Linked DNA regions of Drosophila melanogaster. The protein of the gene in region 2 purifies or fractionates together with the protein of the main gene of each other region. This does not show direct contact. Each region holds a gene or a part of one and is shown on either strand. Other genes may lie near its edges.

Region 1 (4,118 bases), on a different chromosome or scaffold from region 2:
CTGTCCGAGGCACGCGCCCGCTTGGCCAACACGCAAGGCAAGAAAGCCAAGCGCAAGGCTCGCGAAAAGCAACTGGAGGAAGCCCGCCGCCTGGCCACTCTCCAAAAGCGGCGCGAACTTCGTGCCGCCGGAATTGGCAGCGGAAATCGCAAGCGGATCAAGGGAATAGACTACAACGCCGAGATTCCCTTCGAAAAGCGACCTGCCCACGGATTCTACGACACTTCCGAGGAACACTTGCAGAAAAATGAACCCGACTTCAACAAGATGCGGCAGCAGGACCTAGATGGAGAACTCCGCTCAGAGAAGGAGGAACGCGAACGCAAGCGGGACAAGCAGAAGCTGAAGCAGCGCAAAGAGAATGAAGTGCCCACCGCAATGCTGCAAAACATGGAGCCCGAGCGGAAGCGCTCCAAACTAGTCCTGCCTACGCCGCAGATTTCCGACATGGAACTACAGCAGGTAGTCAAGCTGGGACGCGCCAGTGAGATGGCAAAGGAAATTGCCGGTGAGAGCGGCATAGAGACGACGGATGCTTTGCTAGCCGACTACTCCATTACACCCCAGGTAGCAGCCACTCCACGTACTCCGGCTCCGTACACCGATCGCATCATGCAGGAGGCCCAAAACATGATGGCCCTCACCCACACAGAGACGCCACTCAAAGGTGGCCTGAACACACCGCTGCACGAGTCAGACTTCTCCGGCGTGCTGCCCAAGGCGGCCTCCATCGCCACGCCTAACACAGTGATTGCCACGCCGTTTAGAACCCAACGCGAGGGCGGAGCAGCCACTCCCGGCGGATTCCAAACGCCCTCCTCCGGAGCCCTAGTTCCCGTAAAGGGGGCAGGAGGGGCTACGGGTGTCGTCAATACACCTGCCTACGTGAGGGACAAGCTAAGCATCAATCCTGAGGAGAGTATGGGCGTCACCGAGACCCCAGCACATTACAAAAACTACCAAAAGCAACTAAAGTCTACACTGCGTGACGGTCTCTCCACGCTGCCCGCTCCACGGAATGACTATGAGATCGTGGTGCCTGAGCAGGAGGAAAGCGAACGCATTGAGACCAACTCAGAACCCGCCGTCGAGGATCAGGCGGATGTCGACGCCAGGTTATTGGCTGAACAAGAGGCGCGCCGAAAGCGAGAGCTAGAGAAGCGCTCCCAGGTTATTCAGCGTAGTCTCCCGCGACCAACTGAAGTGAACACCAAGATTCTGCGACCGCAGTCCGAGAAACAGAACCTTACGGAACAGCAGCAGGCCGAAGAGCTGATTAAACACGAAATGATCACCATGCAGCGTGAGTAAACCCAACGTTTCCATTTTAACCCAAGTAACTAACGTCCTTTTTCTTGGCAGTGTACGACTCGGTCAAGGATCCCGTGCCTGGTCAATCGCAGCACAAGTTGGAACAGCTACAAAGCTACTTTAAGGCCAATCCCTACGAGGACATCTCGCAGCAAGAGTTGGCGAAGGCCAAGCAAATGCTCACCGAGGAAATGGAGGTGGTGAAGGAGCGCATGGCGCATGGCGAACTGCCCCTAGACGTTTATGCCCAGGTGTGGCAGGAGTGCCTCGGCCAGGTTCTTTACCTACCCTCCCAACATCGCTACACACGCGCCAATTTGGCCAGCAAGAAGGATCGATTAGAGTCTGCCGAGAAACGGCTGGAGACAAATCGCCGCCACATGGCCAAGGAAGCCAAGCGCTGCGGCAAGATCGAGAAGAAGCTGAAGATTCTCACCGGCGGCTACCAGGCGCGCGCCCAGGTGCTGATTAAGCAGCTTCAGGACACGTACGGCCAGATTGAGCAGAACTCTGTCTCACTCTCGACATTCCGCTTTTTGGGCGAACAGGAGGCCATCGCTGTGCCGCGACGCCTGGAATCGCTGCAAGAGGACGTGCGTCGCCAGATGGACCGCGAGAAGGAGCTGCAGCAAAAGTACGCTAGCTTAGTGGAGGAGCGCGATTCGCTTTACTCTCAAATCGAACATATAACTGGCGTCAGGCCCACGGCCCAGCAACTCCTGCCCGACCAGGAAGCGTAAACCTTCTTTTGGAACCCAAGTCCGTTCTTATTTAATTACAGTAATTACATGCCAGCAAACAGCTATCACCACCTAATATCCCGATCCATATTCCTCGCTAGCGGCCGTACTTCTGGTAGACCCACTCCTTGTTGTCCAGCGGACAGACCAGGCGCGTTTTCAACCAGCGCGCGATGCAGTGGTAATGGAATGCGTGGTTGCACTCGCCCCAAGCCACAGTGCACTCGTCTTGGTTTGCATTCGGGTCCGCCTGGCACTCGATGCACAGGTTCATGATGTGGTTACGGCAGATGGCACAGTTGTCCACTGCTACGTCCCATCCCCACATGGCGTGCGCAACCCATTTCTTCACCACAAAGCGCTCCGTCCTGGCCTGGACAGCTCCTCCACTACAGGATGGCTCTTCGTCATTGAAGTCCATGTCGTGGAAGTCCTCCGTCTCCTCAACCTCTATCTCCTCGGCCATGGTGTGAAATTACGAATTTTTTTTCTTTTTCAAAATACAACACTTATTTTCGTATTCGAATTTGATTTGAACTATTTTAAATTCCATTTGTTTTTGGCCTGACAGTTAATAAAAAAAAGTTGACCACTACCGATTTATCTACGAAATAACAACGGCGAATAATTTTAAAAATAAATGCAGAAAAGAAATTAAACCTTGTGATCATATTAAGTGGGGCTCAAGAAAGCTTATCATCGGTAAACCACTTTTGAATCCCTAAATTTAGACAATTTTTTTAAACAAGAAAGAATGTTATAGTCGAATTTCTCGACTATCAGATACCAGATAGTGGGAGTGAGTTTGAGAGAGAAATTTCAAAATTATCTTGGCATATCGATAGAAATTTGTATTCCTTTTAACGAGTTTAATATACCCCTCTATGAGTAATGGGTATGATAACAAATTACGGTTTTTATAATGCCTTTCTTAAACAAAATAGCTGTTTCCCAAACTCGAATGTCATTATTATTAAGGAAGCTTTACTGCTAACGGGAAGTCATGGCTTAGGCTTAGGGTATATCAAATAAATTCTTTACACGTTCTTCTCAGTTTGGGAAAGGTTTTTTACCCTCTTCAGGTGCTTCTTGCCAATAAAGTGCTGTTGCAAGGTGCTCTCATGGTTCATCATCATGTTGCAGGGCTGGCAGTAGTACTGACCCATTGGAGTGCGATACAAGGCCAGTTCCGCGGCATCTAATTTCTCCGTTTCAGGGATCGGCGCCTCCGAATGATTCTGATCCTGCCGGGAGGTCCTCCAGTTCTTTTGGTGCCTGGCTCCAGCCAAGTGGGCCTGCATTTGTGCAGCAGAGGTGACCACTATTTTACACAGGTGGCAGGTGCGCTCATTATCGTCAGACTTGATCACGCTGTTCTCTGATATTAATACGTCCGTAGGGGAATCTTTGGTTAAACTTTCCGGCTTGCGGAACAGACTCCCTATGCCGTAACGACCAACAGATGTATCACAGTGCCTGGCTCCGGAGGGCTTCGCGACGCCCTGCTCCACACGCTTGTGCTTCCGACCTAAATAGTGCTGGCGGGCGTGCATAGAGGAGGTAAGGTCCAGATTGCACAGCTCGCAGTGAAAGGCGTTTGGGCCGGTTGGTCCTTGCTTGGCCAGCCGCTTCACTGGAGGCGCCTCCAGACCCACCTCCGTGTAGTTCTTGGCCAGCCAGGCGCTGATGTGTCGGTCGTGGGCCTTCGATTCGTAGTGATCCCGGGCGCGCTTCCTCGAGGTCATCTGCACCTTACACAGCTGACAGTTCAGTGGTCCAATAAGCCTGTTCAACTCCTCCGGATAGCTCTCGTCGCGTCCGGGAAACAAGGCCAAATCGCCGTTAGCCTTCAACGAATCCTCCTCCATGCACTTAGCCTTCCGTTTCATGTTCGTCCTGATTGACCCATTATCTTTCTTGTCCGTTCGCTTACCAGGTGCCACCAACCTGTTACTGGTCGAAATTTCTGCGTCTGGATGAGATTCGATACAGGCACTATCCACACGAATTTTGGGGGTCTCTCCCGGTGCAAGGTGCGGAATGTGGAAACCTCTAAGGGATCCGGGG
Region 2 (9,425 bases):
CAACATTGTGATACTGCTGTATTCGCAGATGCACCCGCACCCGCAGCGTGCAACATTCATGTTGATTTGACTGTGCCCCATAGTGTAATTAATTCGCGGCGCATCAGCCAAACAGACAGTCGTGCATAAATGGTAATAAATACGGCTGAGCTGACGACATCGGAGGAACACCTACGCAGAAGGGAACTTGAACTGCGGCTAATTAATTTCGACGCACGACAAATGAAGCCGCAAAGGGCTCCTCCGATCGGTGAAAGTGCGCATAATTTACACGCACGGCTCAAAGGTTTATGCCCAAATTAAACTCGCAATTCTGTGGCACATTTTTGCCATTTTGCTTATCAACCAAGGGAGTACTAAAGGCAGTGGGCATCGATGGGCAATTAAGAAAGCCACATGCGGTAGCCATCGCTGGATATCCGTTTACATCTGTTTTTCGCCTGTTGCAAGTTGTCATAATTAAATTATTAACCGAATGCCGAGACCTTGTCGCAGGGTAATTAGTTCTTCAGCAAAGCTTTCACTCTCGCAGTCAGAGCGGGAATTTCCCAGATACGATGTAAGGTAGATATTAAACGGCTTATTTTATAAAACTCCTAAACTTTTTAACATGCGTTTATCGATAAAATTGTGCGTTCATATTCCAAGAATTATTCTGAAATCTCAAAAAGCACTACTATTTCAAAATCATTTGTGTTTTTGTCACCTACATAGTTATAGTTAACTATTTTTATCTGTATTACAAACTTTTGAAATGGACTAACTGAAATTTGAAGTCCAGTGCGTACTTAAAAATATAGCATACTTTTAGGGCTTTCGTTTTGAAATACTACCATTCACAGAGAGCAACACGAATTTTGCAACACTGTTAGCTAGACATGGGAAAAAAATGTTATATAAATTATGATAAAATATTATATACATAAGACAATTTAAATATATATTTGGAAATGTTATGTACTTTAAAAATTCAAAATTTATGAACATAAAATCTTTACCAAATAAAAATTAATTTATATAAATAAAGAAATCAATAATTAGTGACAATAATTCTTCTGGTTCTGCTTGTGATGCAAGCGTACTAAGAAGTCAGTTACTTTCCTTTTAATTTTTATATTTAATATTTATATTCCTTTAACAAATAAAATAAAAAGTAACTACATATTTTCTTAAGTTGCGTGCGATGCAAAGTCAGTTCCTTTCCTGTTAACTTTACTGGTTTTATTTATCATAAAGTTGAGAGCAACTGGTTTTGACACTATCGATGGAAAAGTACTATCGATAGCTATCACCATTCGCCTCGAAAAACAACAACAATGCTACTTTTGTCGCCCATCGCTATTAAAACCTACAATCAATATGAAATGCAAGTAAACGTTGAAAACAGCAACAAATCAAGCTAAATAATAGTAGTGACTTTACTAATGCATTCGCACCGGTAAAATACATTTTGAAATAGTAAAAATTGTGCGAAAGCGACGTGGAAAGCCGTTTCAAAAGGCCAGGTACAAAAACATACGCACACAAGCGTAGACCGTGAGACGGGCAGGCACCCACACGCACACACATATGTAACCCGTCTTTTCCATGACAAAGTGAAATAGAAGAATCGTTAAGAAAATAAAGAAAGCAACAAAGTGAAAATAGAAGCATTGGCTCGATAACGTCTAGCAATTGAATGCACTTCCCTGGGACGTATATTTATCGATCATCGGTTGGAAGTGCGTGCGAAAACAACGGTTCTTGTATTAATTGCACGTATATGTACATAACAATTATATTGTCGCCGTGTGAGTTTTTTTCACCGTTTCTTTTACGCGGAGAGATCGGATGGGCCAGCGAATCAATGTACATGCACATATATCCGATATCTGCGATATAGGCGGCGACAAAGGAAGTGACGACGCAGTACGGCGGATTGGTATCCCGGGACATATCCGCAATTGCAAACTATTCGCGAATAAAACCAGCCGCTTCCCCAAATAGACATACACACACGGGCATATATATACATATGTACGTACACACGTCTGCTTGTGTACATCGCGCTTGACACCCTAACATTTGCGTGGAATGTTTGCACAAATATACGAAACCAGAATGCTCATCTCGGCACCACCCTACGCGGATTGTAGCGTAAACATGCTGGGAGATCTGTGATAGAACTAATCCATTCACCTCTCCTTATCTTTCAGGATAAACCAAGGATAACCCAGGTTAACTGTGTTCTTGTTGTGTTAACCATTGATTGCCGCCGAGGAAAGCAGGTTCCGTCATCGGAAAAGTCGGAGAAGCACCTGCTCTTCTTGCAGCTCCCTGCTCCGGAGTCCGAACCGCCAATAAAGTGGAGGAGCAGTGCCGACGCTTGCAAAGCATGAATCTGCGGGGAAATCCTCCCAAGAAGGAGGGCAAAATGCGCATTCGGGCCTTTCCGGTAAGAACCCACATTGGAGCATCGTTAAAACCACGATACACACTCTTAATCGTGTAATATTGCTAAGAGCGAACTAATATGAGATTATCTATTATCTGACAACCCGGAACTAATACAAGTTTAAACCACAAACTGTAAAAACATTTTCATTTTAAGCTCAAATCCAAGAAATCACTATGAAGAAAGAGCTTGCTGTCCACAGCAAGTTGTATAATCCCAGATTATGCCATTTCTTTGGTTCAAAAAACAATGATCTTCAAATTTTTAAGATTAAGCGTTTGAAAAGGTTGAGTGCAATTTGCAAACGAATTTAAAAAACGAGATATACTCATTTGAAAAGCCCCTTACTCGCTTTGCAGTTGAGATGAGAGTTGCAGCGAAAAATCTGTCGATCGCATCATGAACTTGCAAAATGTTTCGATAAGATAATGCCATTTGCGGGTATTAAGAGTTAGATAATTTTTATAAAACAATTAGCAAATTCACCGGTTAGGCGACACCAAACATTTCTCCCCACAAAATGTCAGGCGACATGAAAAGCAAACACCAAAAATCAAAAACAAATAAAAACATCAAAACACCAACCGGGGCCAGGGGAATTTTCAACACACATTTTAGTTTTTAAGTTACAACGAATTCAATCGTAGTTTTCGAGAAATTATTGTTGACCAACAACACACACAAAAAGACTGTGAACACCTGTATGTGGAGAGCAGGGTGAAGGGCGAGACCCGAATCGCGAGTAGAACTCTGGCCGGAGTACGGAGCACAGAGGAGGAGGAGGAGCAGCGGACCAGGTGTAGCAGAACCGCGCGGCGGATGTGACATTGAAGCTATCATCATTAAGTCGTTAAACCAAAGTCGGTCTCGCCAGGCACCGGCTTCAGCAGCGGGCTATTATCCAGCCCCTCGCTCTCTGGCACTCAGCGAGGAAGAGAGGAGCCACTACCGGGACAGGACGTGTGAGCTGGACCAGCGTAGCAATCTCATGCAAGGCCGCGATCCCCGCCAACAGCAGCCGGAGCCACTGAACAACCTCAACGCCAACGGCCGCTACCACAATCGCATGGTGGCCGGCTCCAACAACTTCAATGGCGCAACTGTCGGTAATGTGGACTCTGCCGTGCCTTGCCGGATTGCAAGGCAAAACGTTCTTGGACAGCAGGCGCGAAGCATGAACATCAATGTGCCCAACGCCTCCTCAATGCAGCAACACCAGCAGTCCCAAAATCGATTGTCCGCTCAGGGATTAGCTTCTGCCTCGCGGCGGAGTTATCACCTTGCCGCCAGCGGTGGCAGAGTTCGGGCTGATAACAGAATTAATACTAACCACCCGCTCACGCCGACGCCACTTTCCATGCCAGTTCCAGCTCCTGCTGCTCCAGCTGTCGTTAAAACTGAAACTAGTGCAACCACCTCTGGGCCATCAACCTCAGCTTCAGCGAGCGCAGAAAGTACAGAAAAACGCTTTAAGGAAATAGCACGGAAGTACCCACTCTGGCTACCGGAGTACAAGCGAAGGGCATTCAATGTTAGCCTACCATCTGATAAAAACCAAACAGGGATTTCAACTTTTAGTTAACTTACTAACAAGCGAAAGTCTTAATATCCCTCTTACACTCTTATGCATTTATAAGTTTTAATCCCTGAGAAATAAGTTCTTGACTATCCAAATTAATAATCTTATATTTCTCTTCCAGGCCTCCATGGACGAGAAGTACGTGGAGACCATTTGGGCCAGCTTAAAGAATGCTATCCAGGAGATACAGAAAAAGAACAACTCCGGACTATCGTTTGAACAACTCTACCGGAATGCGTACAACATGGTGCTGCATAAGCACGGCAATAGACTGTATTACGGTCTGAGGGAGGTCGTCTCAGAACACCTGGAGCACAAGGTGCGGGCGGATGTGCTGGAGGCTCTGCACAGCAATTTCCTACCCAAGTTAAACCAGGCCTGGACAGACCACCAGACATCTATGGTGATGATCCGCGACATACTCATGTACATGGATAGAGTTTATGTGCAGCAGCGCGAGGTAGACAATGTGTACAATTTGGGATTAATTTTGTTCAGGGATCAGGTAGGAATATCTTTATTGCATTTATTCCGTTGGAAATATATTTATCGCTTTTTCCATTACCAGGTGGTTCGCTATTCTGAGATTCAAAAGGCCCTGCGAGAGAAGTTGCTGGGCATGGTGATGGAGGAACGTCATGGCGAAGCCATTAACCATCTGGCTATCAAGAATGCTTGCAGTATGCTGATCACCCTGGGGATTAACTCGCGCACTGTCTACGAAGAGGACTTTGAAAAGCCCTTCCTTGCGCAATCGGCGGCGTTTTACAAATTCGAGTCGCAGAACTTTCTTGCCGAGAACAACGCTGGCGTTTACATCAAGAAAGTGGAAGCGCGCATCACGGAGGAATCTTCCCGGGCAGCGCTGTATCTCGATAAGGATACGGAGCCCCGCATTGTGCGCGTGGTCGAAGAAGAGCTGATCAAAAAGCACATGCGACCCATTGTTGAAATGGAGAACTCGGGCGTGGTGTACATGATCAAGAACTCAAAGACCGAGGATCTGGCCTGCACATATAAGCTTTTCTCGCGCCTGAAGGAGGAGGGTCTCAAGGTGATAGCGGACACAATGTCGGCATATCTGCGAGAGCAAGGACGCATGCTGGTTAAGGAAGAAGAAAACGGCAACACGAATCCCATAACATTCGTGCAGAACTTGCTGGATCTCAAGGACCGCTTCGACCAGTTTCTGGTGCACTCGTTCGCCAACGATCGCATATTCAAAAACGTCATCTCATCCGATTTTGAACATTTCTTGAACCTAAATAACAAATCCCCGGAGTATCTATCGCTATTCATCGATGACAAACTGAAAAAGGGTGGCAAGGGAGTGAGTTGAATTTACAATATGCTTTCTGAAATGTATTAATAATGTGTATTACTTTTCCACAGATGAGCGAACAGGAAATTGAGTCCATCTTGGATAAGACAATGGTTCTCTTCCGTTTCCTATTGGAGAAAGATGTCTTTGAGCGCTATTACAAGACGCATTTAGCCAAGAGATTGCTGCTGAACAAATCAGTCTCTGATGATTTCGAGAAGAATATGATATCAAAACTAAAGGTAGGTCAAGTTACTTGGTATCTTAGCATAATTATTTATCGCTTTAATCTCTATTATTGCAGACTGAATGCGGCTGTCAATTCACCTCGAAGCTAGAGGGCATGTTTAAAGATATGTCAGTCTCCAATACGATCATGGATGAGTTTAAGAACTTTGTAAATAATAACAATTTATCCCTTGGCGGTGTGGAGCTAACGGTACGCATACTAACCACTGGTTTTTGGCCCACACAGGTAAGCTTAAATTGTTCCATAATTATGTGAATAGGTTAACTTATCTTCAATTTCCGTAACAGACAGCAACTCCGAACTGCAATATACCCGCCGCTCCGCGTGAAGCCTTTGACATTTTCAAGAACTTCTATCTAAATAAGCACTCAGGACGTCAATTGACGTTACAGCCACAAATGGGTTAGCTACTTAAATGATCTTCTTTTTTAAGCAACTACTGTATTTATGCCTTCCCCTTCGAATAGGAACCGCCTATATCAACGCTGTGTTTTATGGCCGCAAGGCAGTTGAAAGTGAAAAGGATAAAGATGCACCCAGCTCCAGTTCAAGCGGCTGTGGGGTGCCCACCACCACACGCAAGCACATATTGCAAGTGTCCACGTACCAGGTAAGCTAAAATATCTTTTAGTTCGTACACCTCCGAATTTTATTTAGCAGAAGCAGCTTTATTTCATTGATCTGAAAAAAATATTTAACTAAACATTTAACATGTATTTCATAATCCAAAATTAGATGTGTGTGCTACTGCTGTTTAATAACCGCGACGTGCTCACCTACGATGACATACACCAGGAGACCGATATACCGGAACGGGAGCTCGTCCGAGCACTACAATCGTTGTCCATGGGCAAACCCGCTCAGCGTTTGTTAGTACGCAATTCTAAAACGAAAACTAAGGACATTGAGCCCACGGATGAGTTTTACGTAAACGACGCCTTCAACTCCAAGTTCCACAGGTTAGATATTACTTTCAGTGCGAAAGAACGGCGCCTGGTAATAATATCGAAACTATTTTAGGGTGAAGATACAAACGGTAGCCGCCAAGGGAGAATCAGAGCCAGAGCGTAAGGAAACGCGCGGAAAGGTCGACGAGGATCGTAAGCACGAGATCGAAGCGGCTATTGTGCGCATAATGAAGGCCCGCAAGCGTCTGGCTGTAAGTATTATACGTTTGCTATCTGGTTGGATTGTGATTTAACCATGATTCCTGTTTTTATTTTCTTAGCACAACTTGCTAGTATCAGATGTGACGTCGCAGCTAAAGTCGCGTTTCTTGCCCTCGCCCGTGTTTATCAAAAAGCGCATTGAGGGCCTAATCGAGCGCGAGTATCTGCAACGATCGCCGGAAGATCGCAAAGTGTACAACTACTTGGCCTAAGCGGCCCACAAAAAGTAGCAGGAGCGTCTTAAGCAGGATCCGGAACACACTCATCTTCAAATCGCCAGGGCTTGCACACTAACTGAAAAACACAATCTGCAGCTCGGACGGAATGGCCTGAGCATACGAGCGGCATTGATATGGCGGATACTGACCACGATTATAGATGACCGCCAGCCAATAACCCGAATACATAAATATATCAATTAGTGCGCCCCGAATCGTAAAATTTCGTTTCGCAACCCATTTTGTAAGCCTGACATTCAAAATTCAACAGTTAAAAATGCTATTGGATAAGGCACCACCATAATTATTATCCCTCTAATATATTTCTTGATATTCTCTAATTACTGTTTATGGTCATTTCTTTGCGCATAACAAGTGTATAGCAGTAAGCCCAAACAACCACATACACACCTGCTCCACCACCACCCCATTCAGAGCCACAACCACACACACCACATCCACCCACAAGAATCGTACGCAAAGCAAGATAAGAGAAATAATGCATAATGCAGCCCCTAATTGTAAGCAGCTGAGTAAAAAGGTAAAGAAGCAACAACAGAAATATAAGCAAGAAAATATTAATAACTATAAATATAGCTAAAGTAATAAATTTATAAATGAATTATGAATTTTAGAGAGCGTTTGATGTACATTTATACGTCGTCTGTTTCAATCCAAATAAAAACATTCATCCCACGTTTTGAGATGCGTGTGAACAGAACGTAAGGATTGCAATGACTATTCATATTCCTCTATCTTCATTTTTTGTGTACGCCCAAAGCAACGTGAAGTGATTATGATAATCTGTACGAAAAAGTTGTTTTATCTATTAGTTGATATGTGGGAATCGATTCCAGGCATATGTAGGCAACACTTCTGTAATGGATTTGAGTTAAGTAGGACACACATAGAATTGATTTTGAAAAACAATTTAACGCCGAACCGAAAGCACGAAAACGGAAGCAAGCAAACGCGATCTAAACACTGTAAATAAATTTTGTTCTTACATAAAAGAGAAATCGATATAAATAAAACGTATAATGAGCGTTAACACAGTTGTTGTCTATCTTTTAAAAGGATTTTAAAATATTTTCAATGAAATGCTTTTATTCGCCTGTACAATAAAACGAACTTGGTAACAATTTAAATCTGCAAAAAATCTACTGTTTTCAATTGGTGCCCAACATATTGTGCTAATCGTGTAAAATTTGGGATGGGCAATAAGACTTAAGGATTGGCATAATCATTCTCTGAATCATTCGAAATTTTTTAGTTCTTAATCTTTAAAATTCATGGTTTTTGCAGCTTTTTTCCAGCTATTGTGTAACCGCGTTGAACGACCATATCGGAGTTATCAATGCGACCAAACAAACTTATCCATGGGCAAATATACACCGGATGAGTTAACAATTATACGAAATTGGCAGAACCCCGAAACCGCAACTTGGGCAAACAGCGATGACTTTCGCATATTGTGTAAGATACATACATACATATGTATATCGTGAGCCCGGCCAGAAATTCAGAATGCTAAGTTCTTGGGTAAACACACGCAGCGATCCAATTCGATTCCCCGACGCACTGATAAGCGCTGAGAGTCCGTCGAGTTTTTCAACTCTCTAGAGAGCCGCTCTTGGCCGGTGGTGGTGGGGAGCGAGTGTGTGGAGCGGAGCGCTCAGTTCGGTTTCGTTGGCGATCGCGAACGGAGCGCAGACGAAACGCGCGGTATTTGGATCGTGGCAAGAAATAAAAACAACAACATGCTGAAACCGTATACTTAATACGCGTGTGTGTAGCTCAAAAACAAGAAAAATATAAATAAACAAAACTACATTGCTACGTCAGAAGACTGCAAACAAAAGATATGAACGCAGCGCGCTGAGCTGCTCTTGACGTCGCCGCCAAGGTTCGAATCAGATATATTTTCTCTATTTTTTATTTTTTTTTCCGCCCATTTTTGTGTTGTTTTTAATAAGCTTACAACTTTACAAGTGTTTTTTGTTGTGATTTTTGTACTTTCGTGAGTGATTTGTGATTTGCGATTTGCGTGCAGTTGAAGGCGAGGAGAACTGCATTCGATCTTTCCGATCAGCAGTGCCTTGAGATTGCCGCTTTCGAAGTGAACGTTTCGATGTAGAAACCTTAAAGTCATACTCATGTCTAATTACACAAGCTATTCCCTGGCCGACTAAATCAGCTCTTAGTAAGAAGAACGTGGTAATTACATTTTGAATTGATATCATGGCCAGTCGCCAAGCCGGTTTCGTCCTAGACGCCAAGTCCATGGGTCTGAATCCGTCGAGACCTGCATCATCGCCACCGCCACCACCATCATCTGCCAGTCAAATGTGTCGGCAAGTGCAGCCAACCGGAACGAGTGCCTCGCATCCACATCAAGAATCGACGCTAAAAGCCTCATCTCCTGATCGGTGCACTGCCAGCACCGAGGCGATG
Region 3 (6,530 bases), 2.9 Mb from region 2:
TGGCTGAAAAGAAACAAGAGAGATTATTATAATTTGTTTTGGTAACAATGCTTCCATTGACTTACCGGGCCAATGCACCCTGCTCTTCCATTCACATGGGCTTGTCGATCATACACACGCCCGCATAGCTGCGTCCGATGGTCATCAAAGCAGGCAGTATTCTCCAACTGTCCGAGTCCGGGCAGTAGACCTCCACAGAAGCTAGATTTGAGGTGCCATCATCGCCACCGACCACATACAGCAGGCCATCATGAGCCACCACTCCCGCATTTCGCCGGCAATATGACATGTCTGCCACTGAACGCCAGGAGTTCGTTTCACAATCGTAGGCTTCAACAGATCTTCTGACCATGGGACCATCGTGACCGCCAACGGCATAAAGGATATTGTTCAGCACTCCCACTCCGGCGCCACTCCTCCGCGAACTCATTTCCGCCACATTAACCCATGTGTCCGTGTCCGGATTATAGCGCTCCACTGAAGATAAGCACTGACGAGTGAAGCCATCGTAACCGCCCACGGCATAAAGAAGTCCGTGGACGACGCCTACGCCCACAGAACTGCGACGCGTGGACATGGAGGCGATAAACCGCCAGATGTCAGTCTTGGGATCATACATCTCGGCACTCGACAGACCCGTAGTGCCATCGAATCCACCCACGGCGTATATGCAACCATTGAGGACAGCTACTCCCAGGGTAGATCGTCTGGCCTCCATGTTGCTGCAGTTTGCCCACTGATCCGTGGCAGGATCGTAGACATCTACGGTGCGCACACGCAGTGATCCATTGAAACCTCCGACAGCATAGACTTTGTCACCCAGGACACTTAAGCCGGAGCGGCATCTGCGGTTGGGCATTTCGGCGGCCTGGTACCACTTTTCCTCTCGCAGATCATACCACTCCACCGATCGTATAGCCTTGGGTGCTTGTCCTCCAATAACGAGCAGTATCTTGGGCATGCCCACCGGCTTCCTGGGCACCGTTCTAGCGGACTTTGTCTCAGTGGGCAGTAGATGATAGGTCAATGCCTCAATGATGAGATTCTTGCACACGATATTGCCCTCGAGGAGGATCTCCTTGTCCACACGTTGTGTGATGTACTCCTTGGACAGGAACGGCAGACGCACATGCTCCATGAGCAACGAGGTGAACTGTTCCCGCATAGGAACATCGTAGCGCAGCCAGGCGATGACGCACTCGTATACGCGCTCCTCATTTGGAACCGAAATCCGGTCGTTGCCAATCAGGCTGATGACCTGCTCGTGCGAGAGGTTCAGAAACTCATCGAACTGGATCACCTCGCTGCAAATAAACCAAACACAAGCAGTTAGTAATGGGGCGCAAGGAATGAGAGGAGTGGGCTAAGTAAATTTAATTAATCGCAACCGGTTCAATGGTTTATATTGCACATTTGCTTTCGGTTTTGCGTCTGTTTACTGTTATATAAACTTAATAATTAACTAATTTTGTTTCTGCCTGATGAAATCAATGAGAACTTATATAATTCTGATACTTTGGTTATTACTAATTCAGTAGTTGAATTCGAAAATATAATTAATATAAGATTAAATTCGTGATCTTATGGAAACCCAAAATTAGCGACTTCAAACAGATGCTGGAAGACACCAATGCGTGACTGTTAAACTATTTAAATTTTGATACATTCCAAACACACCTAGGAATTTAATCGTTTTTATAATATAATTAAAAATCCTTTTTGTTGAGTCTAAGGAACTTTAACTTGACACATGTTATTAAATGTTACTATAATTATTAAAATATCTGATCCCATTAATCGATTCAATTGATATTGTTGTACGGCAGCTTTCTATCCTCAATAAATAATAAATAAATAGTCACTTCACTGGAATTTAAATACGAATTACTATCCGTAGATATAGAACAAACTAAAGTGAGTCTTCCCAATATACATGCTCTAAAAGTGAACACTGAACAGATACAGTAATGGATTCCTATCTGTAAACAGGCAAATCAAAACAATTTTATATTTGTCTGCCCATACTGCGTCATCACAATCTAGCCACTTACTTGAAATGCTGCTCGATGTAGGTCTCTGCGTAATTGAGAAGTTCCACGCAGGCATGAATATCGGCAAACTCCCGGATGCCGAGGCAATTACTGGCATCCAACTGAGTTTGCAGGAAGTCGCAGCAGGCATCTCGCACATCCGTGAGCTGGAGCAGGTTGGCGGCGGTCAAGAGGACTTGCACGTTATCCTCGTTTACCTCCACCGTGGCAGTGTATACGTAGTCGATGAGCAGCTCCAAGGCCCGAGCATCGACACTCTGGAGGGTGATCCTCGCCTGCCGCGACTCCTCGAAACTGGTGAACATCGCATAGAAGTACGGACTGCAGGAGGCCAGCACCATGCGGTGAGCGTGGATCTCCACATCGTCGGCCACCAATATCACATCACAGAGCTGTTTTTGTCTGTTATAGGTAAAAATATATATATATCAGATTTGATACATTTTTTTGTACGCAGTAAATTGGTTAGTAACCGTCATGTATCGACAATATTGAGACTTTGAAATCCACTAGCAATAGATCGTTTTGATTGCCAAATAAACAGTTTAAAAGCGTGCTAAATATCTTCAAGGCTGGTATGTATGTTTGTAAACAAAAGTGCTTGAATTTTTTCAAGAGGAAAATATTTTGTTTTGTAAAAAGAGACGGGGATGCTATTAACTGTGCAAATTATGGCGCCATTAAATGATGATGACTACTCGAAAAGACTAAGATCTTTTGTCTTCAAAATCGTAAGGTGTTATAATTATAACCCAATAAAAAAAATCTCATAGAATATACACCTCACGAAATATTTGTGTGATTCAATTCCCAATCAAAAAGCAATCCACATTACAACGCTCGGCTTACTTTTTGGGTTATACCACATTCACTTTCGCGCCGAATACGATATGATTGGTCCGAAAAAAAAAACTCGTTTTATGTAAGCTACCAATAAATTTTCCATACGCCCAGTAGTTTTCCAAAAAGTAAGCAAAGGCGGAGACGCGGAAGCGGAATCGAAATGCGATTCGAAAACGAATATCATTTTTGGCCGCAACCAAGTTCAAGGTCGTGGCCCAATGCGAAACCCGAAGGCGTAAGCAACTCATCATAATAAAAACTAGACAATAATTAATGCGAATGGCCCCACGACAAAAGCGGCGGCAAATATTCGTTTATACATATGTAGTGTGCAAACACAAATATTAGCAACGGCCAGATAAACAAAGCGAACTGCGCAAATATGCGAGAGACGATCATCTGACATTTTCAGAGATTTTATTTTCGCATCTTGGCCCAAATCTCAAAGCTCGAGAGCCAGTCGGTCCACCTGTTCCCGTCGAACACGCAGGGATTGAATCATGCGCCTTTGTCCGGGAACAGAGGAGATGAGTTTATAATAGAGTGTAGTTAGCACAGTTCTATTTATATTAAGTTGAGGTAGGTCGTCATATTTAACAACTGAAAGTTTTAGTGGTAGAAACTCAGATCAGCTTGTTTTGTCAAGGAAATAGTAACTGGGAAATAGCTGACACCTTTTTAGAACCTGAACGAACGTTCAGCTGGTTTGCTGTTGAGCAAACAAATGACATTTGAAACATTTTTCGAACCGTTGTAGGTGTGCTTATTTACATAATCAGGCTATAAAATCACATAGATCTAATTCTGCATATCATTAAAAGTCCTATGTGGGTGCTGTGTGTTCTATTCTCCAGGGCAGGTACAAAATAACCAATGTTCTACCTAAGGTTTTTAAAACCTCTCACAGGTAGGAATTAGGATATAATACTATTTGTGGATCTAAATATACTGCCTTAAGGTCTTTAGAAACCCTGGCTACTTCTTTATGATGCTTAAGGACTTAACCAAATTTTATAGTCGTACGAACTGATCCTTCGACAGGATCTCGTGCCATCCTTACTTTCTCATCTCGTTCATGGCGTCGAAGGAGCGCGCCGTATGCTGTTCATTGCTGTACTGCCCCACAGTGCCGCGCTCCTTGCCATTTGGCCGCTGGACGTGCTTCTGGGAGCTCTCGTCCAGGGAGTTCTGGCTGGCGTAGCGCAGAAGGCAGCTGCCCCGCTCCAGGCCACTTCCCTCGGCGGCGGGATTCTGATGGTGGTGGTGCTGCTGCTGTTGCTGCTGCAGCAGGCGGTTGCGCTGCTGCATGGCTGCCACGCCCACTGCGGCACCTAGTCCGGGCGGTGGCGCCACGAACTCCGCTCCCGCTCCGCCTTCATTCTGTGCTGGTTGTTGTGGGTTCTGACCCTGTTGTTGTTGCTGCTGCTGCTGGTTGTTGTTGTTGCTGTTGCCATTGCTTAGGTTGCTCATAATACCGATCGTATATTTGGTTAGCAGCGCACTCAGAGCTATCATCCGAAACGGATCGGAAACGGAAGTCGCAGCGAATCGAAGGTGCCTCGCCTGGTCCGAAAAAACAAACCGAGGTGGTGAAAAATTGTACACTTTTTGGACGCGACCAGAGCAGTGTGACCAGCCTCGGGTTGGTCGCAAGTTACCACTAGCGATGAATACTCATCGATAGTCCGATAGGCATTTTCAACCAGTTCTCACTGAGCTGGCTTTGTTTCCAACTATAAAATTAATGATAAAGTCATTTAATTTTTGAATTTTTGTAATTCACTTGAATTACATCTTAAATATGACCTCTCCCCTTTAATTTTTATTTATACGTACGTTTCAAAAAGTGTGATTTTTAAATTGATATACAAACTAATATTCCACATTTACCTAAACTTAAAAAAAGCATACCTAATTCATCTTATAAAAATATATAAATAAAATTGCAAAAAGATTACAAATATGCGACACAGAATTCATTAAGATTGCATATTCGAATTCCATAAAAGAAAGTAAAAAAGGTTTAGTTCAGCATAATCTTGATAGAATATCTATAGATATTTTATAGATATAAAATAAAATAAATAGAAATCTATAGATTTTAGTTGATTACTCTCATTTTATAAAGAATTCACGACTTTATAATGAAAATAACGAATGAGTTAAACATTCATTTGTTAAAGATATTAAAATACATCAATCATTTGGGTTGATTATGATTCCACACTTCTGATTCAAAACACACTTTGAGATTTTTTCTAATATCTTGATCAACTTTATTTGTTTGACTCTTTTTTCGATTTTGTTTTTGAATATTGATACGCATGCTCATCAACATGTGAGATATGTAAAATACATTAAATAGGTATTGGAAACAACTGCTTATTGAATGTTTACGAATAACAGCAACCACCTAGGTAGGAATACATGATTTATAATTCATTATATTAATATAGCTACAGCTTAATGCGAAAATCGGTAGTATTTACAAATGCTCTACACGTGTACAACTGACGGGTTTTTTCTTTTTAAACAAAGCACTCGCTTGCGAACGAAATCACTTCGAATAAATAAATAAAGTATATTCATAAATAGGCGAAAATTACATTTGGAAATTTGGCTAATGAGAGAGTTTTACACTAACTAAGCTGCATTCGTATCTCGTATTTACACGTAACAGTAACACATCATTTAGATTCCATACTTCAAATAAATACAATGAAATATTACAAGAATACCAGCGATTACGAAAAGCTCGATTGGCCCTTCTTTTTGCAATACTTATGTGTGTAGGAGAGAGGGTTGCTTTAGATAATAATACTTAGTTTATAGTACAATTAGCTAACTGCGATTTCGATTCTACATTCTACCAGCTCGCTTTCAAGAGTGCCACAACTCAAAAATCCGTCCGAGCTGCATTCCAATAGGTGAGATATATATGGTGAACATTTGGTTTTTGATCCATGACAGTCTTGTAGTAGCGAGCTAGCGATTTTGTTATGTGGCTTCGCGTTTGATCTTTTAACTTATGGTGGCGGCACACGCTGCACTGGGATTGTCTCAGTTTGAGTTTTGGTTTCTGGGTTCTGTTTGCCCCTCCGTCCACGTCCTGATCCTCAGGAGGAGTTGGAGTGACGCTCCGGCGTGGCGACAGTCTTCTGGTAGCAATTCAGATTGGCCGACATCCGACCAAAGGCGGCTGCCATGCGGTTGGGCAGCCTGCTGAGGTGCTCCTGAAGATTGGACGATCTGGATGAGGACGGAGCCGATGGGCCCGACGCCGTGGTGACCTGCTGCAGCTGGGCCACCACCTCGGCGTGCTGAACGTAGGAGACCCGTATGTTGACCCCCTCGTCGTCGTCCTCGTCCACCTCGCTGCCGCTCTCCACGTCCTCGTAGTAGGTGAAGCCCACCTGCTGCTCCTCCCGCTATACATTGCCGTAGTACGGCATCGGGGTGTTCTGGTCGATGGGCTTGACGCGCAGCTTCTGCTTGTAGTGATACTCCTTAAGGTAGCTCTTCAGCCGACCGGGCAGCTCCATCTGGTTGATCCCGTCGTAGCTGGTGTTGGACACAATGGTCGCCCGGGAGAGCTGCTGCAGGGAGAAGGTCTGCCTTCTGTGCAGGGGTATCGTC

What was found. The genes of interacting proteins can lie anywhere in the genome.
Region 1: the proteins of Cul3 (region 2) and Roc1b purify together in Drosophila melanogaster (affinity purification with western blotting; 4 studies listed by BioGRID, with this or other methods). This does not show direct contact.
Region 3: the proteins of Cul3 (region 2) and kel purify together in Drosophila melanogaster (affinity purification with western blotting; 3 studies listed by BioGRID). This does not show direct contact.

The regions. Positions count from the first base shown.
Region 1 is NT_037436.4:356,430-360,547, reverse strand, and holds Roc1b (regulator of cullins 1b), read right to left. Parts: upstream 2,568-4,118; 5' UTR 2,518-2,567; coding exon 2,149-2,517; 3' UTR 2,062-2,148; downstream 1-2,061. Other genes in the region: Cdc5 (cell division cycle 5), read left to right, coding at 1-1,303, 1,363-2,051; CG1231 (uncharacterized protein), read right to left, coding at 3,089-4,118. UniProt on the Drosophila melanogaster protein: Component of the SCF (SKP1-CUL1-F-box protein) E3 ubiquitin ligase complex, which mediates the ubiquitination and subsequent proteasomal degradation of target proteins.
Region 2 is NT_033779.5:15,263,914-15,273,338, reverse strand, and holds Cul3 (cullin 3), read left to right. Parts: upstream 1-3,014; 5' UTR 3,015-3,422; coding exon 3,423-3,965; intron 3,966-4,134; coding exon 4,135-4,518; intron 4,519-4,581; coding exon 4,582-5,343; intron 5,344-5,405; coding exon 5,406-5,576; intron 5,577-5,638; coding exon 5,639-5,809; intron 5,810-5,871; coding exon 5,872-5,986; intron 5,987-6,051; coding exon 6,052-6,194; intron 6,195-6,319; coding exon 6,320-6,543; intron 6,544-6,604; coding exon 6,605-6,743; intron 6,744-6,812; coding exon 6,813-6,965; 3' UTR 6,966-7,310; downstream 7,311-9,425. Other genes in the region: yuri gagarin, read left to right, coding at 9,213-9,425.
Region 3 is NT_033779.5:18,133,523-18,140,052, forward strand, and holds the start of kel (kelch), read right to left. Parts: upstream 4,562-6,530; 5' UTR 4,410-4,561; coding exon 3,955-4,409; intron 2,454-3,954; coding exon 2,052-2,453; intron 1,305-2,051; coding exon 92-1,304; coding exon of another isoform or gene 66-91; intron 4-65; coding exon of another isoform or gene 1-3. Other genes in the region: Socs36E (suppressor of cytokine signaling at 36E), read right to left, coding at 6,323-6,530. UniProt on the Drosophila melanogaster protein: Component of ring canals that regulates the flow of cytoplasm between cells. May be involved in the regulation of cytoplasm flow from nurse cells to the oocyte during oogenesis. Binds actin.